Neurospora crassa OR74A: one gene and its partners. The protein of the gene in region 3 purifies or fractionates together with the protein of the main gene of each other region. This does not show direct contact. Links are inferred from orthologs where the notes say so. Each region holds a gene or a part of one and is shown on either strand. Other genes may lie near its edges.

The links.
Region 1: the proteins of NCU00794 (region 3) and NCU05235 purify together in Saccharomyces cerevisiae (affinity purification with mass spectrometry; 3 studies listed by BioGRID). This does not show direct contact. The link is inferred for Neurospora crassa OR74A from reciprocal best matches to the Saccharomyces cerevisiae genes RSA4 and RLP24.
Region 2: the proteins of NCU00794 (region 3) and NCU05233 purify together in Saccharomyces cerevisiae (affinity purification with mass spectrometry; 5 studies listed by BioGRID, with this or other methods). This does not show direct contact. The link is inferred for Neurospora crassa OR74A from reciprocal best matches to the Saccharomyces cerevisiae genes RSA4 and NOP53.

What each region holds. Positions count from the first base shown.
Region 1 is NC_026504.1:5,664,036-5,667,579, reverse strand, and holds NCU05235 (ribosome biogenesis protein RLP24), read right to left. Parts: upstream 2,126-3,544; 5' UTR 1,976-2,125; coding exon 1,900-1,975; intron 1,816-1,899; coding exon 1,211-1,815; 3' UTR 507-1,210; downstream 1-506. UniProt on the Saccharomyces cerevisiae protein: Involved in the biogenesis of the 60S ribosomal subunit. Ensures the docking of NOG1 to pre-60S ribosomal particles. Activates and recruits ATPase AFG2 to cytoplasmic pre-60S ribosomal particles.
Region 2 is NC_026504.1:5,668,536-5,672,163, reverse strand, and holds NCU05233 (60S ribosome subunit biogenesis protein NOP53), read right to left. Parts: upstream 2,358-3,628; 5' UTR 2,126-2,357; coding exon 1,974-2,125; intron 1,901-1,973; coding exon 694-1,900; 3' UTR 507-693; downstream 1-506. Other genes in the region: NCU05232 (AP-2 complex subunit beta), read left to right, coding at 1-184; NCU05234 (GTP-binding protein ryh1), read left to right, coding at 3,284-3,330, 3,427-3,452, 3,537-3,625. UniProt on the Saccharomyces cerevisiae protein: Late-acting factor in the nuclear maturation of 60S ribosomal subunits, which is required for normal acquisition of export competence. Required for the export of the large subunit.
Region 3 is NC_026501.1:7,141,704-7,146,091, forward strand, and holds NCU00794 (ribosome biogenesis protein Rsa4), read left to right. Parts: upstream 1-1,517; 5' UTR 1,518-1,668; coding exon 1,669-2,018; intron 2,019-2,078; coding exon 2,079-3,072; intron 3,073-3,137; coding exon 3,138-3,263; intron 3,264-3,328; coding exon 3,329-3,412; 3' UTR 3,413-4,115; downstream 4,116-4,388. Other genes in the region: NCU00795 (membrane bound cation transporter), read left to right, coding at 1-640. UniProt on the Saccharomyces cerevisiae protein: Involved in ribosome biogenesis. Required for processing and efficient intra-nuclear transport of pre-60S ribosomal subunits.

The sequences.
Region 1 (3,544 bases), on a different chromosome or scaffold from region 3:
ATGAAGACAGCAATGGGGATGATGATCATGTTGACGATGTTAACGAGGTTAACGATATAATGGGGTAAATATATGATGAGAGAATGAGATGGAACTTGATGATGATGATGATGGGGGGTGGGGGGAGGGAAATAGAGGTGGGTGGGCTAGACAACCTGACAAATGGGGAAGCAAACTATAATGAGAAACTTGGCTGTGCTTTGTGCTTACGGTTTGGCTGGCTGGCTAAAGCAAGGCGATCGGAGCATTAGCATGCGAAGGAAGGGGTTGGTTTGGTTTTGTCGGGTCTTAACGCTTATAATAATACAAATGATAAAAGATATAATACTTTGTATTTAGTTACCGACTTGAACCAACTGTGTCTTTTAGGTGTTGTTTAGAGTTGTTGTGTTGTCGACTGAGTGCAAGATGGAATCAACGAACGGGTAGTAGTCCAAGATTGACCTTGGATATATCCTTGGCTAGGATACCTAGTCAGGTCTCGAGCTACAGAGGTCAGTCACGTTGGCAGAAGACAGAAACGAGTAACTTGTCGAGTCAGAAAGTACTGAGGATTACTACTATAAAACAAGACAAGACATGGCAGAAAGAAAAAAACAAACAAGTACTTCATATTGTGGGTCTCCCCGTGTCTATTAAACGCCAAATTCGCCGATTCCAATAAAACCGAAAATATGCTTTGCTACTAAAGGTAGACTGATTGATCCCCCCCTTGAAAACCATGGTTCTGAATATAATGAATCTTTCCAATGACCTGTAGCGACCAACGACCAACCAACCAAGCAAGGGGTATAAGCAAGCCCCGAAAGCAGCCATCGCTCGGGGGGGAGGATTGTCTGTCTGTCCAAAGCCACAGTTACTGTTTTTACAGTTAGAGTATTGGCTGTTGGTCAACCAATTGCTGTCTGTCCTGTCCTCTTTCTGGTCGTTCCGTCTTTATACACCAAGACCCGTTCGTCGTAGTTGGGCTTTGTTGCTGGTGTCAACTAGGCAGGTCTCAGTGGCGAGGAAAGGCCGCCGAAAAAATACAGCAGAACCCTCCCCCGCATAGGGATATCGACAGCCGCGGGAGCGAGTTCGTCCGAAGAAAACAAGCAAACAACGAATGATCCCGAGAAAAGAGGTGGCTGGTTTCGGTGTTGGTGATGGTGGTGGTGGTGGTTGGCGGTGGTGGTGGTCGCGGTAGTAATAGTTACAGAGACTCGGGCGCTCAGTCGGTATCCATCTCGTCGTCATCGTCCACGTCCTCGAAATCGTTCTCGTCATCGTCATCCTCATCGACCAAGCCTCCACCAGCGACGCGCTCCGAGATCTCTTCCACGCCGCCGTCTGTCCTGACACGGAGCCTCTTGACCTCGCCGCCAAACGCCTTGGTCTTCTTGCTGGCAGCCTTCTTGGCCAGCTCCTCGCGCTCGAGCTCCTCGACGTCCTGGCCCGTCTCCTGGGCGAGCTCGGCCAGCCTCCTCTTCTCGGAACCGCGCAGGCGGGGGAGGAGGTGCTCGTTCTCGGCGACGAGCTTGCGGGCGGCGGCGACCTCGCGGGCGCGCTTGCCGGCCATGCGGCGCTTGTAGAAGATGCGCTCGCGGCGCTGGCGGATCTCCGAGATACGCTCCATGGCCTTGACCGTCTTGGCGAAGAGCTCGCGGTCGTAGCGGACGGGCACGTTGCGGCGGGCGGCGAACTGCAGGGTGCTGTCGACCACCATCTCCTTGCCGGCGTTCTTGCGGTAGGCCTTGGTCCACTTGAGCTTGCGGGGGTTGCGCTTCATCTTGAAGTTCTTGTGGCATTTGGAGCGGCAGAAGCGGAAGGACTTGCCTGTAACATTAGTTGTACCCTGGTTAGCAATTGGCCTTGACGGAGAGGTTGATGATGGGGAACTGAAGTATGACAAAAACATACCATCGTTACGCATAAAGGTAATGCCCTTGGAGGGCCAGGCCGGACGGCCGCAAAAGAAACAGGGATCGACACGCATCTTGACGGGTTATGTGGGTGGTTGTGGTGGTGGTGGTGGTGGTGGTGGTTGAGGAGAGAAGCAGCGAGCCGGGTGAGGATGGGCTCGTTGTCTGTTCGGGAGGGGGGGGAGGAGAGGGGGAAGCAAGCAACAAAGTCAACAACAGCGAAACGGTCAAGGGCGCCGCTTCTGAAAATTTCTGGATGTCGGTGTTGGAAAAGTAAAGTGGGGCGGAGGGGACGCTTGGCTTATCTTAGCGCTATCGTGCTATCAGCCGACAAGACTCGGGTTAGGGTTGAGCGTGCATATACGCCAGCCCAGACGGTTCTTTTCTCTTGATTTGACAATGATGGTTCCCGATGATCGATTCCTCGATGTAAGTTGGCCGGCAATTGCGGCTGCTTACTTTCGATGCTCTCTCGACAAGCGATGGCCATGATGCTCAAGTCGACGGGCATGTTTACTTTTCCCAAATCAGTATATTCCCCGATCCATCCAACAATACTTCTTGAGCTCACGATCTTTTCGCTTCGCGACAATGTTCAGTCACCAAGATGGCATTGGTTTCTGTTAACAGGACTCTCGCGGACCCTAACATTGCTAGCTCCACTCTCTTTCTTTCCCATCAGTTACTGCTAACGATTAAAGTCTGACACCCTCTACAATGTTCAACACCGGGTATCATCGGTGTTCGTGACTGCAATTTTTACCATGTCTGAAGAATCTATTCGAGTTACAACTGAAGGCGTCAAGTTCTTCTCGGAGACTGTGGCGAAATCGGATCTTGAATTGTCTGTCATTTCTCACAATGATCAAGACCTTCTGTGATGGAAACTCCGTCGGCAGTAGGCCAGTGTCTGTTGAAGGTGACTACTTAGGCTTTACACAAAAAGAGGTCTTCCTTGACACTTGGTTGATATAACGCATCTCCGTCTCTCAGATTGAACTTGAAGTGCAATGGACTTTCCTCACTCCTTCCCCAATCACAGTGCTCCTTTCATCTCACTCACAGCGGAGTTGAGGGTCGGGTGCTGACCGAGAGCCCCATCAGATCCACAGCGCTAACTCAAAGATGCGGGGACGGAATCCGGGGAAAGCGTCAAAAGTGGAGTCGGGTTCCCCTGAGGCTCCACCAGACTAGCTCCTGCCCTGCGACAGTAAGGGTCCCGAGATCGTTCTTTCCTGATACAAACCGTACACTAAGTATAGGAAAGTCAAGATGTCGCTATCTCTTTCCAGTTTCTTGTCGGTAATTATCCCATGCGGTTCACCGTAATCTTCCTTCTCAAACTTGGTATCTACTGAAATGTACAAAGGATCAAAATTACAAACCCAACACCTACTGCTTCCTCCCCCAGCCACAGCACACGCGCACCGGACCACTCCTCGCTCCGTGGTGCCATTAGACATCACAGAATCAGACGACGGAACTCACAGACGGGCCGCTGTGATACAAAAGTGACGTCCAGCCACTCGAGATGATTGGATTTTGGATATTGCCTGCCACTCCTACCCCGCTCAATCCTGGGTTACACCATGCCTCAGCCAGACGGTTCCAGGTCTCGAGAAGCCGTTGGACATAGTAACTAC
Region 2 (3,628 bases), on a different chromosome or scaffold from region 3:
CTTTGCGCAGCAGATGAGGCAGATGCAGATACAGCAGCCCGGCGACAGTTTTGGTGGGGATGCGGGACATTATGGGTATGGACAGGGGTACGTGGTCAGTCAGAGCTCGGCGTACCAGCCGGGGATGGGGGGGATGAATGGCATGGGAGGGATGAATGGGGCTCAGGGGGATTTGTTGTTGTGAGGGAGTGTGGTGTGAGGGGTGCCTAGCTCCGAATGGAAAGGGGGGATGGGATGGGAAGGGGTAAGAGTGGGAAGAGAGGAGAGACAAGGTAGTAATGTAATAGACAGACTAGGAGTTGGGGAAGCGTGGTGAGTGTGTGATTTGGTAGGGTGGTGGGAAAAGATATCCAGTTAGGGTTTTTGGTTGTAGATAATGCGAATAACAAGTAATATCCCGTCACTACGTATGTTCTGGTGTGTTAATGGGCGAGTGTGAAGACATTCATGTAATGTCATCTCACTACAAGACTTGAAAGACAAAAACGCGAGCATAGGACCACTTTGAATGTTCCAACCTTTTATTGCACTGAAGACCAAGTGAGAAAACCGTAAACGCCAATATACACATGACAAACGTACTACTAACAAAAACCAAAAGGGAATATTTTGTAGAAGGAAAAACAATTACCAAACAAATCCGAATATGTATATGTCCGTAAAGCCCCAAAACTTAAACCCAGCCGAGCCGCTTCAAGCCAGATTGAAATCCTTGAAAGTCCACTTCTCCGTGACCTTTGTCTTGGCCTGCTTTTTGAAGGGAATGTGCCTCCTCGCCTCCACCTTGCCTCTAAGCAACATATTCCTGTACCTGTCTTTCAACAAGTTACCCTCCGGCTTGAGCAACCTCAGCGAATCCTGCAGCTCATCCGGCAAGACCAGCTCCAGATCCTTCTCGGGCAACTTGAACTTGCCTAGTTGCCTACGGCGCAGCTCGACGTCGTCATCTTCTTCAAGGCTAGCATCGTCCTCTTCGACATTGTTGGATTCGGCTTTTTGGAGAGCAAGCTGCCTCTCCTTCTCGGCCAGTTCCTTGGCAATCTGCTTGACCCGCGCGGCCTCGGCCTCCCTCTTCTTGATGGCCGCCTCGTGCTTCAGACGCTGCTCCTCGGCCTTGCGGCGCTTGATCTTGTTGCGCTGGGCTTGCGTCTTGCGCTCCGGCCGCTTCTTCTTGTTGGCCAACCCTTCCGCGTCGCTCTCGGCCCCTTCCCAGGCGGAATCATCCTCCCATTCCGACAGCTCGGCGCGCTTCTCGGCGGCCTCGGCCTCGGCGCGCGACTTGGCGGCCGCTTCGGCCTTGAGACGCTCCTTCTCGAGTTCCTCCAGCCGCTTCCGTTCGGCCTCCTCGGCCTTGCGCAGCTCCTCCTGGTAGCGCTCCGAGTAGTCGGTGAAGGCGGGGTTGTACGACTTGTCGCCCTTGGGCTTGGGAACGGCGGGGAGCTGCTTGCCGGTGGCGGCGAGGGAGATGGGTTGTTGTGTGAGCGTCTTGGGCGCCTTGGGCTTCTCGACCTTGGGCAAAAAGTTGAACGTTTCCGCGGCCTGCTGCTTCTTTTTCTGCTCTTCCTCTGGGTCGGCCCAGGCGTCAAAGGTGGCGTCAACGACCTCAACCGTGGTGGTGTGGTGGCCGTCGGCAACGCGCTTCAGGCGACTGAGCTCCTTTTGGGTGACGTAGGTGGCCCGCAGGCGCTTGGAGGGCAGGACGCCGTCGGTGACCTTGCCGGAGGTTTCAGAAGCCGGGCGCTTCTTGAGGGAGACGGCGGGAACGGCGGAGCGCTGGGCGAGGATCTCGTCGGCCTTCAAGGGCTTCTTGAGTTGCTTGGGGAGCTTCTTGGTGATTTCGGTGTCGGGCTTGACGTCGATGGCGAAGAGTTCTTCGGAGGTCTTCTCGGCAATGACACCACTGTTATACGATAATTCATGTTAACCAATTGGTGTCTTTGGTAATACAAAGCATCACAGAAGGAGCGCCGTACCCCTTGATAATCTGGGCGTTCAACTCATCGAGACCCTGCTCGACCTCTGTCACGTCGACATTCTTCCTCCACGCCTTCTTGCCCTTTCTCGACGGTTGGTTGTATTGCTTGGGGGCTTCGGGATTGCCCGACAAGGGTTTTAGGACGGGCATTTTGGATATGTGATGTGATGGTGTGTTGTGTTGTTGGGTTGACGACTCGAAGAAATCAAACGAGTCGGCGGAGGTTCGAGGCAGATAAGAAATTGGAAATATTGATACCTCGAAACCGCCTGGAATTCTGGGGTCTCCTCTGCAATCAATCCGACTGCCCAGTGGGGTGTGCAACTCAAAATTTCAGCGGCGACAGGAGGCAGCGATAAGATAAGAAAGACCTGCCCGAGACAGGACAGGGAAGAGCAACTTCATGGAACACAAGCGTCCAGCGCTTCAGTTCCCTTCCCCAGCCGTGCTCAGCTGGCAGTTGGAGCAATTAGCCAATCAGACTTCCAAGCTGCCTCGGCCTCTGGACAAATCCAATGACGGCCGCCAAGCTTCCATTGGATGCCCGGTCTCGGTCGTTTTGGTCAAGTGAAGTGTCGAATTTGTCTGGGCGCAGAAAGGCGGCGGGCGGCCACTGTTTCCCTCCACTGATCGCTTGGCGCGGTCCCCTTTCTCTCGCATGAGTCCGCTTCGGGGAAGAAGACTGAATAATAGTCGCAAGAAACACTTTGTTGTTCGAACTTGAGGTTATGCATAAACAATGGATAAAAACATGTAAACTTGTACATACGTACATACGGAATGTCGGTCAATCAATTAATCTGTATCCAAACAAAATATTAAATGTTCAAGTATTTTCTGCTCTCTGTGGTATCAACTCTTATAAAACGATCTCTCGACCCGATTTTTGTTTGGTAAACGAAGACTCGACGGACTGCAAAGACCCCAGCAACCAAGTCGGCAACGAGACCCCGACTGGATCCCAAACACCGACCCGATTGTCCTCCAAGCTCCCTTGTCATCCACCCCCCGGCCACCACGCCCCGTCCGTCGCACCACTGAGACCACTCAACGCTGCATGATCAGTCTCCGGCAACTCTCCGCCGCCGTCCATCTTCCACTTCGACGACCAGCAGACACCTATCTAACTCTAGACCAACTCCGACCGCCTACACTACTAAGCTTTCTGCCACTTAACCACCACCACCTCCTCCAAAGTCCGAAAGCTTCCTCCCCTTGATCGTGTTTCCGAATACCTTCAGCTACCTACCTACCTACCTACCTACCTACCCCGCCAAATACCGTTAATCCGCAAACACATCCATCACAATGGCGCAAGCAGGCGGGTCATACAACAACCCCTTGAAGAAATTCAAGTAAGACAACATACCCGACACTTTTGCAGACAATGCACTTAAGTCAAATGGAAGACAAAACAAGACAAGATGCTAACCACTCTTTCTCCTCGCCAGGTTGGTCTTCTTGGGCGAACAAAGCGGTATGCGATTACCTCAACCTACAACACTTTCTCCACGATGTTCTCCGAGACACCAATGCTAACTCAACGATTGCGCGCAAACAGTCGGCAAGACGTCGCTCATCACACGCTTCATGTACGACTCGTTCGATAACATGTACCAAGCCACCATTGGTATCGATTTCCTTTCCAAGGCA
Region 3 (4,388 bases):
AACACAGAGGGCTGCGAGCAATCGACAGGCACCCGGCCAATTGCCGGTAGTAGTCCCCATTGTGGTTGACAGCACACCGGCCTCGCCTCGCAACAGTGAGGAAAAGCCAGCGGCCCAAGAGACAACAGAGGTCGAAGCCATGCCACAGAAAGCCGCCGTAATCCTTCTTCTGGCCTCGACCGGCTTGGTCGCCGTTTGTGCCGAGTTCATGGTGGACTCCATCGATGCAATCGTCGCCCGGGATGCCAATGCAACTACAGGCATCTCTGAAGCCTTCATCGGTCTAGTGCTCATCCCCATTGTAGGCAATGCAGCTGAACACATCACATCTGTGAGCGTGGCACTCAAGAACAAGATGGACTTGGCACTGGGCGTGGCACTGGGCAGCAGTATCCAGATTGCGCTGTTTGTGACGCCGGTAGTGGTTATCTTGGGCTGGATCATGGATCGAGACATGTCTCTCTACTTTACCCTCTTCGAGACTGTCTGCATGTTCGTTAGCACCTTCATTGTGAATTTTCTCGTTAGAGATGGGAGGAGTAACTACCTCGAGGGAGCACTTTTGGCATCTGCCTACCTCATTATCGCCGTGGCAGCGTTTTACTTGCCAAATCCAAGGTTGGCTAGCTCTGTTGGGTAAGGGTGAAGACAGAATTTAGGATGGGAGGTCGGAGTGTGTAGGCTACCTAGGTTCGGATGACAGATGAACGGTTATGGTTGAGGCCCAGACCGAAGGAGTAGTTTGTCTTGACTAAGGAGGTTTAGGCTTTTGCCAACAGCCATATCAGTAATTGTCGTAGCAGAGGCCGCATCAGATGCAGTATCAAAGCTAGTACCAGAGCCAGTGCCAGCCGTGACCGTACCCGACTTGGGACCAGCAGCAGCCGCAATACTTTGCAAGTGGCATTGGGAAAGCGAAAACCCGGGCAGCCTGGAATATCGGGACTGCCGGTCAATGAGAAGCGAGGGGAATGAGAAGTTTGGTCAATAAGTAGAGATAGTTGACGAGTATCCTGGTGAAGGGAATCCAGGGTATAGCGATTCCTCTGGACGTGGGCGATATTTGAGGGTCTGGGTCACCTAGACAAAGGGAGAGAAATGAATTTTTGTGCCTTGTGTAGTAGTATAGAGAAACAAAAAGGCGTCATGTCGGAACATGAATCCCCTCCGGAGGAGTCAAGAACAGCCGGGCGATGCTCATGCTGGGTTCATACATAGATGGGAGATCACGTAGGGTATACAGTATAACAGCTGTTGGGAAGCAGTGGTGACGACAAGTGGGAGTTGACTCGGAGTGTTGGAATGTTTGGAGATGGGATGATGATGACATGGGATGATGCCCGATGGTTCAAGTGGAAGGTTTGGATGCAGACGCACTAACAGCGCTAAATCGTAAACAGCCCTGGCCCAGCTTCGTGATGCCCCTGTGGAGACATGGGGAAAGCAAGTGTGGGTCAGAGCTCCATTGGAACTGGACATGCCAAGCCAGTTTTGCACGCCATCACCGCCAAAATTTTGGACTGTCCGCATTCTGCTGGGTCCAGCCTTTGCAGGGGCAGCAAGTCCAGTGCAAACCCAGAAGGCCCCCAATCCATCAACACTTCCTGGAAGTCGGGCGAGTATCGCAACACACTTTCAGCGACAACTTCTGGCACAACATAATCCAAGATGGCGACAGTACTACCACCCCCGTCGAAGCGCCAAAAGAGAGAGGAGATTGAGCGCACCACAACACAGCTCGATGTCGCCCCGATACTGGCGCCTGAGCTCGGCTCCTTCAAGGCCAACTTCGTCGACAGCGATGGCAACCAGATGACCGATGTCATCGAAATCAACTTTGCCGATGCCACCGAAAAGAACATCTCCGTCTTGCTCAACACCCTGCTCGAGAGGGACCGCGAAGAGTTCACCCCATACCGATTCCGCATCCATATTCCCGGCAAGGATATCATTGTCGACCAGTACCCTTCCGACCTCCTCGGCCTTCTCAAGCAGCATGGTGTCGAGAACCCCTTCGAGTATGCAAGACCCGGACACAGGAAGCCCAGCACGTAACTGCTTCGCTAACCTCCGCATAGAACCACAATTACTCTTAGTGCCGAGCCCCAGGCTGTTTTCAGGGTACAAGCAGTTTCGCGCCTTGCCCATCGCATTCCCGGTCACGGCCAACCCATCCTCGCAGCCCAGTTCTCGCCTATTTCATCCGGACGCCTTGCTACCGGCAGCGGCGACAACACAGCTCGTATTTGGGATACAAATACAGGTACCCCGAAGCACACATTGAAAGGGCACACCGGCTGGGTCCTCGGCGTCAGCTGGAGACCCGATGGAGAGCAACTAGCGACCTGCAGCATGGATGGCACAGTGAGGATATGGGATCCCGAGGCCGGCAAGCCCGTTGGTCAGCCTTTCAAGGGCCACGCCAAATGGGTGTTGATGACGGCGTGGCAGCCGTACCACTTGTGGAGAGACGGCACCCCTAGGATTGCCAGTGCTAGCAAGGATGGTACCTGTAGGATTTGGGTTGTCAACACAGGCCGTACCGAGCACGTCCTGAGCGGTCACAGGAGCTCCGTCGCCTGCGTGCGATGGGGTGGAACCGACCTCATCTACACGGGTTCGCACGATAAGGTTGTCCGGGTATTCGACGCCGTCAAGGGCACCTTGGTACACAGCTTGACATCTCACGCCCACTGGATCAACCATATTGGTTTGTCCAGCGACCACGCCCTGAGGACCGCCTACTTTGACCACACCAAGGACGTCCCTTCCACCGAGGAGGGCAGGAGGGAGAAGGCCAAGGAGCGTTTCGAGAGAGCGGCCAAGATCAATGGCAAGGTTGCTGAGCGCATCGTATCTGCCAGTGACGACTTTACCATGTACCTGTGGGACCCCACCAACAACGGTACCAAGCCCGTTGCTAGACTTTTGGGACACCAGAACAAGGTGAACCAGGTCCAATTCTCTCCCGATGGCACTTTGATCGCCTCGGTTGGTTGGGATAACAGCGTGAAGCTCTGGAATGCCAGGGATGGCAAGTTCCTCAAGAGCTTGAGGGGTCATGTTGCACCCGTGAGTTCCTTACCCACATTCATCTCTTACCACGAGGGGAAAGTTCTAACGCGTTGATACTTCAGGTCTACCAATGCTCCTGGTCCGCCGATAGCAGGCTTCTGATTACGGCTAGCAAAGATACTACCCTCAAGGCATGGAATGTGCGCACTGGCACTCTCGCCATGGACCTTCCCGGACACGAAGACGAGGTATGTGAACCAAATCACGGCGACATCGGTGTTCCCACTGCTGGAAAATTCTAACTCGCTTCCAGGTATACGCTGTGGACTGGTCGCCGGATGGCAAGATGGTAGGATCAGGCGGAAAGGATAAGGCCGTGAGGACATGGAGAAACTAAAGAAGAGGGCAAGAACGAACCTTACTCTCCTACAGCCAGCAGTCGGAACCCGAGAGCCCCCGCTCTACTTCACTCGCGGAGGCCTCAGCGGGGTGATATGACTTCTGGCCTGCTTCCGTGGTGTTTGCAGCAGTTTGCCGTTCGCACGAACGAGCCGGCTTGGGATACTACATGCCCAGGTATCTGCCAGAAACAACTTTCACGGCAATCTTCGCGAGCCAAGTTTCCTTGACGTCAGCCTAGCTACTAGTATCGGCTCACCAAAGAGGCCTTGCTGAGTCAATACGCAACACGGCTGCACACATCACCTCGACTCGCAGGGTGGTGATGTTGTGTGGCTGTTAAGTGCTTACCGACTGCGCCTCTGCCAAACTTTCCGAATCGCTGGGCAAGAGCGAAAGAGGCGATGGAATGGGCCTGGCAAATCGGTAAAATCTCCCGCCGCCAGTTCAATGTTACCAAACCGCGCGACCACACACCAAGACCAACAAGACGCTCGAAAGATTTGGAAAATGGAAAGCACCATAGATAGACAGAGACGTGGTCATGTTAAGCGATGTCCGGGGGTATCCATTTGAGGTTTGATAGATGCGAGCATTTGATGGAATGGTTCTCATTGCGCGCATCATGCAGGGCGTTACATAGGTGCCACGATATAGACAAGGATAGTGATATGCATTCATGGCAACCTAGAGAGACGTTGTTTAATCATGACGTTTGGAGCTAGTGAACCAGCCGTTGATGTTCAGAGTTACGAATATGTAACTTTCGAAGACGGCATATGATTCACTTTCCCGAAGCAACAGACCAGAGGTAGCAAGAACCACGCACACTGCAAGCCTTTTTTTTTCTTTTTTCTGAAGCATCCTTCGAAGGCCCGGACGGGAGCTGCCACTGGTCCTATGGGTCCCGGTCTGTAGCAGGCAAGAGGGAGCAGGAGGCAGCCTTCCACTTCCCCGCCCCGCCGTGCCGCGTC